Schizosaccharomyces pombe: one gene and its partners. The protein of the gene in region 3 interacts with the protein of the main gene of each other region in a pairwise test. Each region holds a gene or a part of one and is shown on either strand. Other genes may lie near its edges.

The links.
Region 1: the proteins of prt1 (region 3) and wat1 interact in a two-hybrid assay, tested with the Schizosaccharomyces pombe proteins (one large-scale study listed by BioGRID).
Region 2: the proteins of prt1 (region 3) and SPOM_SPAC14C4.04 interact in a two-hybrid assay, tested with the Schizosaccharomyces pombe proteins (one large-scale study listed by BioGRID).

What each region holds. Positions count from the first base shown.
Region 1 is NC_003423.3:1,661,330-1,664,934, forward strand, and holds wat1 (TORC1/2 complex WD repeat protein Wat1/Lst8), read left to right. Parts: upstream 1-1,611; 5' UTR 1,612-1,617; coding exon 1,618-2,562; 3' UTR 2,563-3,031; downstream 3,032-3,605. Other genes in the region: myosin-binding vezatin family protein Inp2, read left to right, coding at 1-1,060; vacuolar transporter chaperone (VTC) complex, GTPase regulator subunit Nrf1, read left to right, coding at 3,253-3,605. UniProt on the Schizosaccharomyces pombe protein: component of both TORC1 and TORC2, which regulate multiple cellular processes to control cell growth in response to environmental signals. Nutrient limitation and environmental stress signals cause inactivation of TORC1.
Region 2 is NC_003424.3:5,232,325-5,236,222, reverse strand, and holds SPOM_SPAC14C4.04 (uncharacterized protein), read right to left. Parts: upstream 2,164-3,898; 5' UTR 1,931-2,163; coding exon 1,127-1,930; 3' UTR 562-1,126; downstream 1-561. Other genes in the region: LEM domain-containing protein Man1, read left to right, coding at 1-439; mek1 (meiosis-specific serine/threonine protein kinase), read right to left, coding at 3,657-3,898.
Region 3 is NC_003423.3:794,299-799,634, forward strand, and holds prt1 (transcription factor), read left to right. Parts: upstream 1-2,000; 5' UTR 2,001-2,284; coding exon 2,285-4,573; 3' UTR 4,574-4,696; downstream 4,697-5,336. Other genes in the region: Tea1-anchoring protein Mod5, read left to right, coding at 1-759.

The DNA of each region.
Region 1 (3,605 bases), 870 kb from region 3:
AATTGTAATAGATTTTGTTTTATACAAATTATCATCTGCAATGGCAAGTCTTCATTATCTAAAGTTTGTGAAGATAATAGCCTTATCTTATATTTGCTTCTCTTCGCTCATACGGATTTGTCATTGCTGGACATATTTTATTCGTATTATGGGATTATCCAGCTTAAATAAGTTTGTCAATCTATTGCATGATTTTGAAACTACATCTAATCGTGTTTACTCCCAAATTTGTGAATTGGAAGCAAATTCGGCAGCAAATCGCTCCCGGTTAATGGACTTCCTTCCTGCCAATGATCCTTTATTGTTTAATCTTACGGAACAAAATACTTTAAGTTACGAACTGTCTGGTTTGTATGAGAAGCTTTTACCTAGATACCAGCTGGTTCTGTCAAGAATATATCCGTATGCAGCTGCTTCCAACCTTAGAAACCTATTATCACTATATAGACTTCCAAATTGCTTTGGTAAATTAAATTCGTTTGACCTCCGAAAAGGTTCCTCAACAAGCTTAAAACGGAGTTCCATGTACCTAGCCCGTAAAGAAAACCAAGACTTTGATGACCAATCCACCCAAATTCTCAATCACATCAAAACTGCTTATTATGAATTAACTATAATCTCTAAGCAAGTTCTATGTTGCATACTATCGTTTCCGGTTGATTCATTTTTAGCTGAAAGGTCTTCATGGCTCATTGTTCACCGGGAGGTAGGTGACCTCTCTAATGCATTGTCTGTGTCGATGGTTCGTCTCGTTGACATCTTAAAGTTTTCAGTTGAATCGGTCAACCGTAATCAACATAACACTACTAGCAAACCTTTCCCCAGGATCATGTGCAAAGAAAATTTGCGCAGTCTTTTTAACGAGTTGCACTCTGTAATGATGGAAACTCATGAGTCTATCAGCTCATATATTCAAGAAGGAGACAATACAGCTATGCAGACATATGCTATGGATGAATATGATCAAGTTGGTTTACTGCTCAAAGATTTGCTCTCTGAATGGGACTTTAATAGAGCACTACTTCTCAACTTGCAACACATGCACCGAAAGCGTAAATAATTTTGGCTTTCAGAATTTTAAACCATATTTTGCTTTTATGATCTTTTTTATCCATTATTGTCCGTTTCTGTTATACGTCTTTCGGAACCTTGTTGGTTTTAATAGTTAGGATAGTTATTATAAACTATTTACAAATCGACATTTATCTAGGTTTAAATGTCGTTCAACTCAGCAATGATGTCTTTGTTGCTTAAAAATTTGCCTTAACCTTTCGTCCTGTATAATATTTTAGTTATACCAGTTTATCTTTACACTTATGCTTATGCTACTTATTGCAGGCGCAATTTTTTAAAAAATTAAATTAACATGAATTTACTATTATTCTATGAATTTTCCTGTTTTTATGGTCAAAACTGTTAAATTTTTTAAAGTTTTGATGGCTGTAGATTTAAAGTATAGATCGCCAATCGTGCGTTTACAAGTCATGCTACAAAAAATTTACTAAATATATAATATAAACATATTTAATTGATTTTAAAAATTTTCAGTCATTAATTCTCTCTGTATTCGAGTTTGTTTAATAACTACAGTATAACAGCGCTCCATTCTTTAACCACATGTCAGTACAGTATCCACCACAACATTCTGTTCTGCTCGTCAGCAGTGGATATGACCATACCATTAGATTTTGGGAAGCCCTAAGTGGAATATGCTCGAGAACAATACAACATGCGGACTCTCAGGTAAATCGTTTATGTATTTCACCTGATAAGAAGTTTCTAGCAGCCGCCGGAAATCCTCATGTAAGATTGTACGACATAAACACTAGTAGTCAAATGCCATTAATGACCTTTGAAGGGCACACCAATAATGTTACAGCCATCGCTTTTCATTGTGATGGTAAATGGCTTGCCACATCGAGCGAGGATGGAACAGTAAAGGTGTGGGATATGAGAGCCCCTTCAGTTCAGCGAAACTATGATCATAAATCTCCTGTTAATGACTTGTTAATTCATCCAAATCAAGGTGAACTGCTTTCATGCGACCAAAGTGGACGAGTTCGTGCATGGGATTTAGGAGAGAATTCTTGTACACACGAACTTATTCCGGAAGAAGATGTACCTATGAGCAGCATTACTGTTGGATCTGATGGTAGTATGCTTATTGCTGGGAACAACAAAGGAAACTGCTACGTTTGGCGAATGCTAAATCATCAGGGTGCTTCATTGCTTCAGCCCGTTGTCAAATTTCAAGCTCATCAGCGTTATATCACTCGCTGCGTCTTGTCTCCTGATGTCAAACACCTTGCTACATGTTCTGCCGATGCTACAGTGAATATATGGAGTACGGAGGATATGTCATTTATGCTTGAGAGACGACTTCAAGGGCATCAAAGATGGGTTTGGGATTGTGCGTTTTCTGCTGATTCTACCTACTTAGTAACCGCATCTTCTGATCATGTTGCAAGGCTTTGGGAGTTATCGAGTGGTGAAACAATCCGTCAGTATTCGGGTCATCACAAAGCTGCTGTTTGTGTTGCTCTTAATGACTACCAAATTTAAGTGTTTCAAAGCATTTTTCAAAATAAGTTTACGAGTTATGTTTTGTTGTATTTTTAGCTCAACTGATGTTGGAAAATTACTTCTATATATTCAAGTTTATTACACGCCTTTATCCTATTTTACCTTTGCTATATAGATTTTATTCACCAATCTTCTTAGGAAAACAAGAGTCTTGTCTTGTCAACATTCGTTTATATTAAGTGTGTCTGATTTCAAGACGATTTCTTAGTCACTTACAAATTTTTTATAAATTATATTCTTCCCTTGATACAGTATTTGCTAGTTTCATATCTCGGAGTTTTTATGATAAATAATAGTCTTAAGTGATGATAACTTTTGAAAATTTTCAATGCTTATTAGTGTAGTTTAACTTATTTTACAACTTTTATCTCTAAACATGATAGGATTAAGTAGGAAAAGTTACATATCCTCGTGTCCTTAAATGAAATGAAATGTATATCTTCATTAGCTTTCTGGTTAGCGAAGAAGCGAATTTGATAATGCAAAATTTGAAGAATTTAGTCTCGCTAAATCTGCTAATTAACTTACCGAGACTTACCGTAGTAAGATACGAAAAAAATTTCTAGGCCGTTCGACACAGCTGACCTTAACCACAACTCACAGCCAGCACATACTTAATCTCGCGAGGAGAAAAAACCTTCGATTTATAGCTCACTCTTTCCACTAACAATGTCTACTCAACCTCTTTTACAAACTACTCCTGGTAAAAGAATTGCTCTTCCTGTTCGTGTTGAACCTAAAGTTTTTTTCGCTAATGAACGTACTTTCCTTTCTTGGTTGAGCTTTGCAGTAGTTTTGGGTGGTTTGTCAGTTGGTTTACTTAACTTTGGTGATCGAATTGGTAAGATTAGTGCAGGACTTTTCACTATTGTTGCTATTGGTACCATGGGTTATGCTCTTGGTATTTACCACTGGAGAGCATCTGCTATTCGACGACGCGGAAGTGGTCCTTACGATGATCGATTGGGACCTACCATTCTCTGCTTTGTTTTGTTGGCAGCTATTATAACCAACTTTGTTCT
Region 2 (3,898 bases), on a different chromosome or scaffold from region 3:
GTATTTGACTTCAGCAGTTATATCCTGTTGGCGAATTTACTTGTTGATTGGTATATTGGCAGCTATTACCGGTACCGTTGTATGGCGAATAAGAGTCTATGCCAAGAAGCATGTAGTAAAGCATGGAGTCTCCGTATGCGTTTCACATTGTATTGCTAAGCTACAAAAAACCAAGCTAAAGTCCTTGACAGATTTTTCTGTCAATCCTCGTGTAGAAGTCGTGCAGCTACGTTCTGACTGTTTTGTATCTGGAGTCGCAGATGACAAGGGCCTTTTTGAACTTGTACATCTCCCTTTGTCAATTCAATTAGAAATATGGGAAAAGGTGGTTTCAGTCCTTGAAGGAATGGTAAGCGTAAAGGTATGGGACAGTGAGCGCTTGGCAAAAAATCGTGCTTGGGAATGGATCGGGGTTTTTTCAGATGACATTGCCTTATAAAATACGGTTAGATATATAAAAAATGACCTTAAGGTCAAACTTTATGAATGTCGTTTGGCATGATGATTTATGAATCTAGATACGAGTGCAGCATCAGTAGGTACTATTATGTCAACATTATTTTCCTCACGTTAATATAATTATTTTTTAGTTATTGCACTTTGTTAAGCACAGGAGCTTATAGATTGAAACACTATCGAAAAATTTAATCAACAGATTCGAAAATTTCATTAATTTAACATTGGTTTTTCTAATTAAAAAAAGAATATCAAATTTAGACCCGAACCGTTTGCATTAGCTGTCTAAAAGAGCATTTCAAATTAGCATTTGGCATCCGGCCTCAATGAAAATAAAGAGTTCCATGTGACAGTTCTTATTTTGAAGGGTTCTGGCATGTTTGTAAAAATTCAATGCCTCGACGGTATTGAACGGTACAGTCTAAAACAGGTCTAATACACTTTTAGAGTTCTAGGACTAAAAATGAACGATAAACAAGGGCCATAAAATGCTCCAAATCAAACAAAAGCCAAACTCGCAAATTGAATTATCTTTATTGCAATATAACTCTAAATACGCAGAAATATGAAATTTATAGAATATGAAATTAAAATAGAATCTGGGAAACTCAACAAAGAAATAATTAACACGTTTAGTATAAGATAAAATAGTAAAGACAAATAAGAAAGATTAATGCAATGCACTTGCTACGAGATTTCGTAAAGCTTTACAAAGTAGTTCAACATCGCCAGAGTAACGACCGGAAGCATAGAAAAACTTTTCGTCCGAATAAACCCAGTGAGCAGTTTTGGGCCCTGGTACGTATTTCGATTCAGGAATATAAGTATAAGTATAAGCCGGAGGATTAGATGCGCCAAATAAATAAGACGCTCTTTCCATATAAAGTGGAGTCGTAGTCGATTTAATCTCAAGATTGGGAGCAGCCCGCTGAACAGCGATTGCTCCTTGAGCCATTGTTGCTAAAACGCGGGTGCCACTAACACGGGCACATAAAGGTATATAGTCAGCTAACAATGAACTGAGACGAGGAGACTCTACAAGTTCTAAAACAGCGGGATCCTGCCCTCCTGGCACATAAACCAAGTCAAAGTTTTCAAAGGTAAAGCTCATATCAGACATATTTGAAGGACTTAAAAATTCTTTGGTAGTTGACATTCTTTCATAAATATCCTTAGTCTTGTATGTGGCACCGATGAACCAAGATTTCACTCCACTTAAAAGGCGCTGATCGGCTTGAGCAACAATACCAGTCAAAGTAGCAAAATTAACCATGAATCCCTCCTTTACAAAAAATTGCCAAGGATCGCAAACCTGAGTAACATCGTACCCAGTGTCTGGTAATACAATACACATCTTAAGCGTTCTATGCTTTCTACCCGATCTACCAACTGGAGTAGGCACCCACAAGGGATTGCTAAAGGGCTGCAACATGGAACCATCACTATTAACTTCACGAACAATGGGCATAGACATGATGATAGATAATTTTTAATAGTTTGTGAGTAAAAACGAGATTACAATAAAATAAACCAGTTGCAATCTATAATAAAGAAAATGGATGCAAACTTATCAAATGATTTCTAATTATAGCTAGAGAAGAATTTATGCTAACAGGAGAAGATTTGACAATCCAAATTTTTGCAGAAGTAGATCAAAGCTTCTTTTAATGAGTTCTGTATTATGAGTAAAATTGGTGGTACAATGTTGAAGACAGGAATGTTTTACGGGTACTGACCTGTATCCGTTGTTAATATTATACTATCACACATTCGTGAATCTTTACAGTTCATTAAAGTGGTACGCATAAAACCGTTATACCTCGTTAAATATTTTTGAATTAATGCAGATTGACCTGATTTTATAATCTATGAGCCGTTAAAGTTGATAATAATTAAATGAATTTTTTTAAAATATATTTACACTCTCTCTTGTGCTATTTGGAAATTTATACTGTCCTTAGGTCGACCAATATTGAATAAAAATTATTTAACGAGTAATGTTATGTTGAATTAATTTCATGAAATCATAATTATATTTGAACAAAAAGCAGCTATATTATGTGATTTTAGTGTAAATAAATGCGGAATTTTTGCGGCATAAAATGTTTTAACTTAATTAGCCTGGAAAGAGAATTTGACGTTTTCAAGTAATTTTACCAAACTCTGGATAAATCTTTTCTCATTCGATCTGATTTTTTGGATGTTCTATAACATTGCTTTTTTATAAAATTTTAATTTAATTTAATATATCTTTGCTTGAATTATCGTATTTCCCAAATTTTTTTGTCAAATTTATGTTTCATTAATATGACACAACTGTTAGCTATAATAACATAATCGTTAGTAGATGAATAAATTAACATTGAGTTTGGTTGAACGTTTTTAGCCAGGGTATTACTTCATCTTAGCTAAAGCTATTGAAAACTGTAGTTGCATGCAACATGTCTACTGTCATCCATTAAATCAGTCACAAGAAGTGCTATAGCTTGTATTAAATTCAAACCAAGAACAACACCTGACACAAGTGTTAATTGGATTTGTTAAAGATGACAACAAATTTGTAAACAATAATCAAAATATTGGTAGCAGAAAAGCTCCAACAAGATCAATCATATGTACAGAGCCACGCCTGCTTTCTCTCCCTTAAATTTCATGATCCGGATAACTTTAAGTACAGCAAATCTTCTACAGCTTCTTTTATTTAATTTCACAGTATTTTAAAAGCCATTTAATACATAAAAAACCTAATATAAGGCTACATTATACACAAGGTCAATAATCTCCTTTAGTATAGGGGTAGTACACAAGCCTGTCACGCTTGCAGCCCGGGTTCGAATCCCGGAGGGAGAGGATTATCTTTTTATAAAGTTTTTTTAAGCTATTAAAAAAAAAAGGATGCTTATATCTATAAAATACCAAATTTACGCTGATTGAGACTAAAAATTGTTTTTTTTTAAGGTAGGGAAAATGGCTGACAAATTGATGGTCACTCATATCTTAAGTAATAAAATTTCTTTATATTAATTGCGTAAGTTGGATTGCCTGATTAATTCTAAAGATTAAATGTGTTCATATTTTATAGTTTATAGCTAAAAATAACTTAATTAAGTAATGTTAGAATTACATAGTTCAGACACATAGCTTTTATGTGGAGAAACTTCGATCGTTTTATCAAGTTTATCGAATATTTTCTTACGTGGCTATAGCCGGGAATGTTTAAGAGGTTTGAGAATACGAGTTTCATATAATTTGGTGAGACGACTACTATGTCGCGCGAACCAGGGATGGGAAAGACATTGTTTGACTGTGAACCGATCTGGGGGATTCGTTTTTAAAAGATTTGATATCAGATCTTTGGCTTGCCTGGAGACGGATTTCCAAACAGGATCTCGAAAATCCACTTGTTTTTCTTTCACTCCATCTGCAAATGATGGTGAATTAC
Region 3 (5,336 bases):
AAGGCTCGACCTGTATCTGTGCCAGATATGTCGTCTCCCGTACCTGCTTCTTCAGTTGAATATGAGTCTCTCAAAGCCGCCGTTACTTATTCGCCTTCTCAAAATCCCAAGAAGGTTGCAGAAACCGATTCTGAATCTCGTAAATCGTCTTTTCAATCTTCCTACAATGATGCAGATCGACCTTTCCAGGTTGGCGCGCAGACGCAATCAACACCGAATCGCATTTCGAGGAGTGATTCTCCTATTGTATATGATGTAGACACTCATTCTGAAGACAACGCTAGTACAGCATCTTCGGAAGCCATTTCTCAATCAATGCGTTCTTTTCAACCTCAACCGAATACTGGGAGTCCATTTCCACGTTTTACTTCCACCAATACTGAAGATGAGCAGGAGTCAGATATTCCTCAATCGGATGCCAATGATTCCACTGTGAATTTGAACCAACCTAACTACGCCAATTTAACTCCTACACCTCAAGTTTCACCGAAACGACCTACTTACTCAAGAAGCTCACCTTTGCCTTCGGCTTCTGTACCCGCCCTTGGTGATGGGTCACCAGATCCTCCAGCTGCTCCGTCAATTCAGAATTCTTTGAGTGTCCACGAATCTGAAATGCCACCTCATGTAACCAGAGACTATACACAACCAGCTGCTAGTGCAACACCAGTACCTAAAGAAAAACCTTCTGAAAAAAGTGAAAAACCTCCTAAAAAGAAAGGTTCCAAATTAGAGAAGTTTTGTTGTATTTTGATGTAAAATTTATTTTTGTTTTTTTTAATATTTTAAGGATTGGCGTCGAAAGCATGTGTCTATGAAGGATTCAGATATCCAAAGGAAATCGTAATACTTGAAGGAATTAATTTAATGGTTGTTCACGTGCGTACTTTCCTGTCTGCTTATATCCATATTATATTTCCGTTTTAATGCATACTCATTTCAAGACACGTGTTATCATTAACGTTGATTGGGATACACATAACCTCTAGAATTACATGTTTCAAATCTTTTTTTTATTGTGGAGCGTTATGTTAAATTTTTTGCCTTGTTTTTTGAACAATAATAACATATGAACATTTAGTATAGTGTTTTAGCAGGAAGAATTTCATATTTTTTCGAATAATGAAAACTAGAAACGTTGAACTCATGTGGTGCATATCGCGTTAACTCATACTAATTTATACCGGGTTCGATTGGTCATGGTTTTCAGATCTCTTTAACCTGGATATCCGATCTTGGAGGTTAAATGGCATATTCTTGAGGAACTTTTAAATTTCTATTTGGTTTAACAAAGGATAGTCTTGCTTGTCCCACATTTCTTTTTCTCTACGAACTTCACTTTATTTTAGACTGGGCATGAATTACTTTGTACGACAAATAGAACAAAAGGATTTTTTTTTCTTTTGTTCATTTAAATCGGTGTTATGAATGAACGACAGACCATTAAAAGAAAAAGCAATTTATTTCACCTCACTGATTTACAGTCATTGGTAAGTTGGAACTTATAATTTATAGCTTTTGGAGTTTGGCGAGTTTATGAAAGCAAAATTAAATTGAAAAAGCTTTTTTTTAATTTTCTTTTTCGCAAAAGCTTTCTGAAATCTAGTGTCGAACTTTTATGTTTGCAATGTAGGGATGAGATGTTTTTTGAGAAGTCGGACTTCGGACTTCCTCCGATCCGTCTTAATTCAATTTTGATCCGTTTCCAAAGAAAACAAAAAGCTTTATTTTTAATTTATGTAACTTTTCGTTCTGTTTTTCTAATGCTACCCCTCAGGTATGTGGTAAATGTACCTACCTGTATAACTTAGTTTTTGTTCGCAAAAACTATTTTGATTATTTAATTTCAGTATTTAATAATGAAATTAAATCAAAATTTGAACGACTTTCATCAAAATTAATGAGCTTCTGTATTTTTTCTACATTTATTCCCAATTGCTCAGCACGATAAGTTTCGTAAAATCGGATTGATATAGTAATCTACACGCATCAACGTGACTAACACAACTTGGTTAAAAATTTTTATCGGAATTGTTAAAAACGAATAATTGGTGCTTAATTTATAAATGAAAGCTTTATTTCATAATAAATCGCTTACTGAAAATACTTTTTAAGGAACATTTTTTGGACCCGCACATTTTAACTACTCAGAAAACGAACGTCCTATATTGTAGGTATTGCTAAGTGATTGGCTTTTTTATTCTATTTTTTAATATCTTTGGCATATCTTAATATTTGCTAATCGACTGTCGTTGCACTTGTACATTGAAAAAATTGTTACCGGATGGAAAATTTGAAATCAGCATCGCCGGAGGAAGACTCACCTCGCCACGGGGATAACATGGGGAAACCAAAAAGAATTCCTAGAGCTTGTGACATGTGTAGAAAAAGGAAGATTCGCTGTGATGGAAAGCAACCTGCATGTTCGAATTGCGTTAGTCACGGAATCCCATGCGTATTTACAGCTAGACCTAAAAGAAGAACAGGTCAGAGACAAATGTACATTAAGTCGCTCGTTTCTAGATTAGAACAAATGGAGTCTACTCTGAGATCCGTAATTCCGAACTACGACCAGCAGCCTGATATTATACATCCCTCCTCTACTCCCAAAAACTATCATGATCTAAACTGTACGAAAGGCGAAACTTCTTCCGATGACTCCACCGACGATATAGCGTTTTTGAATGAAAAAATGGGGACTCTCGTCACTACTCCGATCGGTTCTCAAAAATATTTCGGCTCTTCATCTACCTTTTCCATTATTCAACATGCTGCAAAATTTGCATCAGGAGTTGAATCCGATAAAGTTTTAGAGCATCTGTCCATGGCTAAATCGGGTTGTTTGTTTGATCCTGATGAGAGTTTCGATGGCTCAAAAGCCGAATTACCTTCTTCAGAGATTGCCAATATATACATAGATGCCTACTTCAAATCATACAATCCTTTATTTCCTGTTTTTACAAGAGAAAATTTTTACCAAAAATTTGGTTCCCCAAATTGTTTCAAAAAACCCGATGGTTCCATTGATCTGGTTAATTATGCTTCATACGTTGTTGTTTTATCTCTTGGTTGTCTTGCTATAGCGGATACTGAAGAGCAAGTTTCCCGAGCTAATGCTCTATTTAAAAACACTCTCGGAATCAGTATTGAAGTTACTAAAGATATGAGCTTCCGTACTCTGGTCTTCAATTTTCTTACTTCAGTCTATTATTGCGCAGTTTCCAAACCAAATGCGGTCTGGTTGAACGTTGGTGTAGTCGTTAGAGTTGCACAAACGCTAGGTCTTCATCGAAACAGTGCAATGTGGTCTATTGGAAAGGAGGATGCGGAAGAGAAAGCTCGTTTGTTTTGGTATATATATTATTTGGATAGAGTATCCTCGATGATGACAGGAAAACCCGTTGCTTTTCAGGACGATGACATTGATCAAATGGTGCCATTTTACTCTATTTATTGCTATTATGGACTTAAGCCACCCGAAGGAGATCCTTTGGGTACTTTTAACTTTTTGGAAGCCGAGGTGCAGTTAACGCGAATTGTTGGCCAAGTCCTAAAGGAACTATACTCAGTGAGTGGCATGAAGTCTAATTCTTCTCAAGTTATGGAAAAAATACTTGAGTTTGACCTTTTGCTAAACAACTGGTATAACAGTCTTCCCGACTGTATGCAACCTCGGAATCGTTTTAAAATTCCCAAATTTTGCTCGAGCAATCTGATTTTAACATCTGCTATTTATTATTCATGTTTAATCCTTATTCATCGTCATTCTCTTACAAAAAATCTTCAGGTGAATTGTGTCCATAGAGGGACTGGCTCTATAACAGATTCTCAAGCTTTATGCATTGCGGCAGCTCGCTCCATTACAAATCTTTTCGTGGAATCGGTTGATCTACAGCCATTGATAATGAAAATCATTATGTATCATGCCTTTACATCTTCGATTATCATCTTTATCAGTATATTGAAGCGGCCTCTTGCTTCTATATGTTCTGAAGATTTGAATTGTTTAATTTCCGTAAAAAATCGTTTAATAAGTTTTGAAACACATGGTTTTGTTCGTTTGAATGTCGTTATGGATGCTTTAGAAAGTATGATCTCGACTGCTCAGGCAGCTATGCAAAAGGCTAAGCAAATAGCAATCAATTTTAGCAGCAACTTAGCTACGAACGAAGATGTTACTAATTCTGGCATGCCTGATATTGCGGATGTTTCCCTAAAATCGCAAAGCCATGTACCACCACGTATATCCAGCAACCATTCAGATACAAGTGTTAAAAGCAATTCTCCCTCCTCTATATTTGATAACAGCGGGTATCTGAACTCTCTTAATAACAGCATCTTACAAATGCATCAAAACCTCCAAAATTCATCTAACACAAATGACCAGTATAAGTTTGATTCTGTTCAGGAAAATGAGCTACATGCAAATATAACTCCCGTGTTAGATCAAACAATGTCAATGTTCCCGTTTAAGGATCAGTTAGATCTAAATTTTGCTGCTGCTAATGTTTACAATCCTAATGTTTTTGATGATATGGGTTTGGATTGTAGTTTTTATGGGAACGGTCTATAATTAACCTAAATTATGTTTTATTAAATAGACGTCGTTGTCTAGATGCGCATGATATGATAATCCTTTTGTTTTGTTTTTGTTTACAGATTTTTACACCTTAATAGTTATTTTATTTATTATTTGGATGGTCCGTTTCTGTACGAAGTCATTATCAGTCCTTTGGACAAATTTTCTAAATTGGCAAACAATTATGAAGAATGCCCTAATGCTTTTATAGCTCACTAATTGTGAGCATGCTTTTTAAAGGACTTTTATATGCATGTGATAATTTTAAGTCCGAGATTGTCTTTCTTGATTGACAGCTAGTGCAGTAAATTCGGAGAGCCAATGCTCGGCTTCTTTCGTATTTTGGTGGTCTGGCCCTAAGGTTTCCTTTAATATGTCGTAGGCCACGCGCACTGCATGCAATGCGCTACGACTGTCCTTGTTAAGAACCATTAGTTGAGCCAGCTGTAAATACAGAGAAGCAGTAGGTGTAGTTTTGCCGAAAATTTTGTCTGATAGATCGACTGCAATTTGCAAACACTTCTGACTCTGAATGAATTTTTCAGAGCCATGTAACATAAGAGAAAGATTAGTAAATGAGTTAATAGTATTAGGATGATCTGGTCCAAAAACCAAATACCACAGCTTTAGTGCATGCTGCATATGCATCACTGCCTGCATTTCATTTTTTTGAGAGAATTCATATAGAGAAAGATTCATATAAGCCAAGCTGGTTTCCGAAGAATCAAATCCGAGGAATCGTTCACAAACAATTACA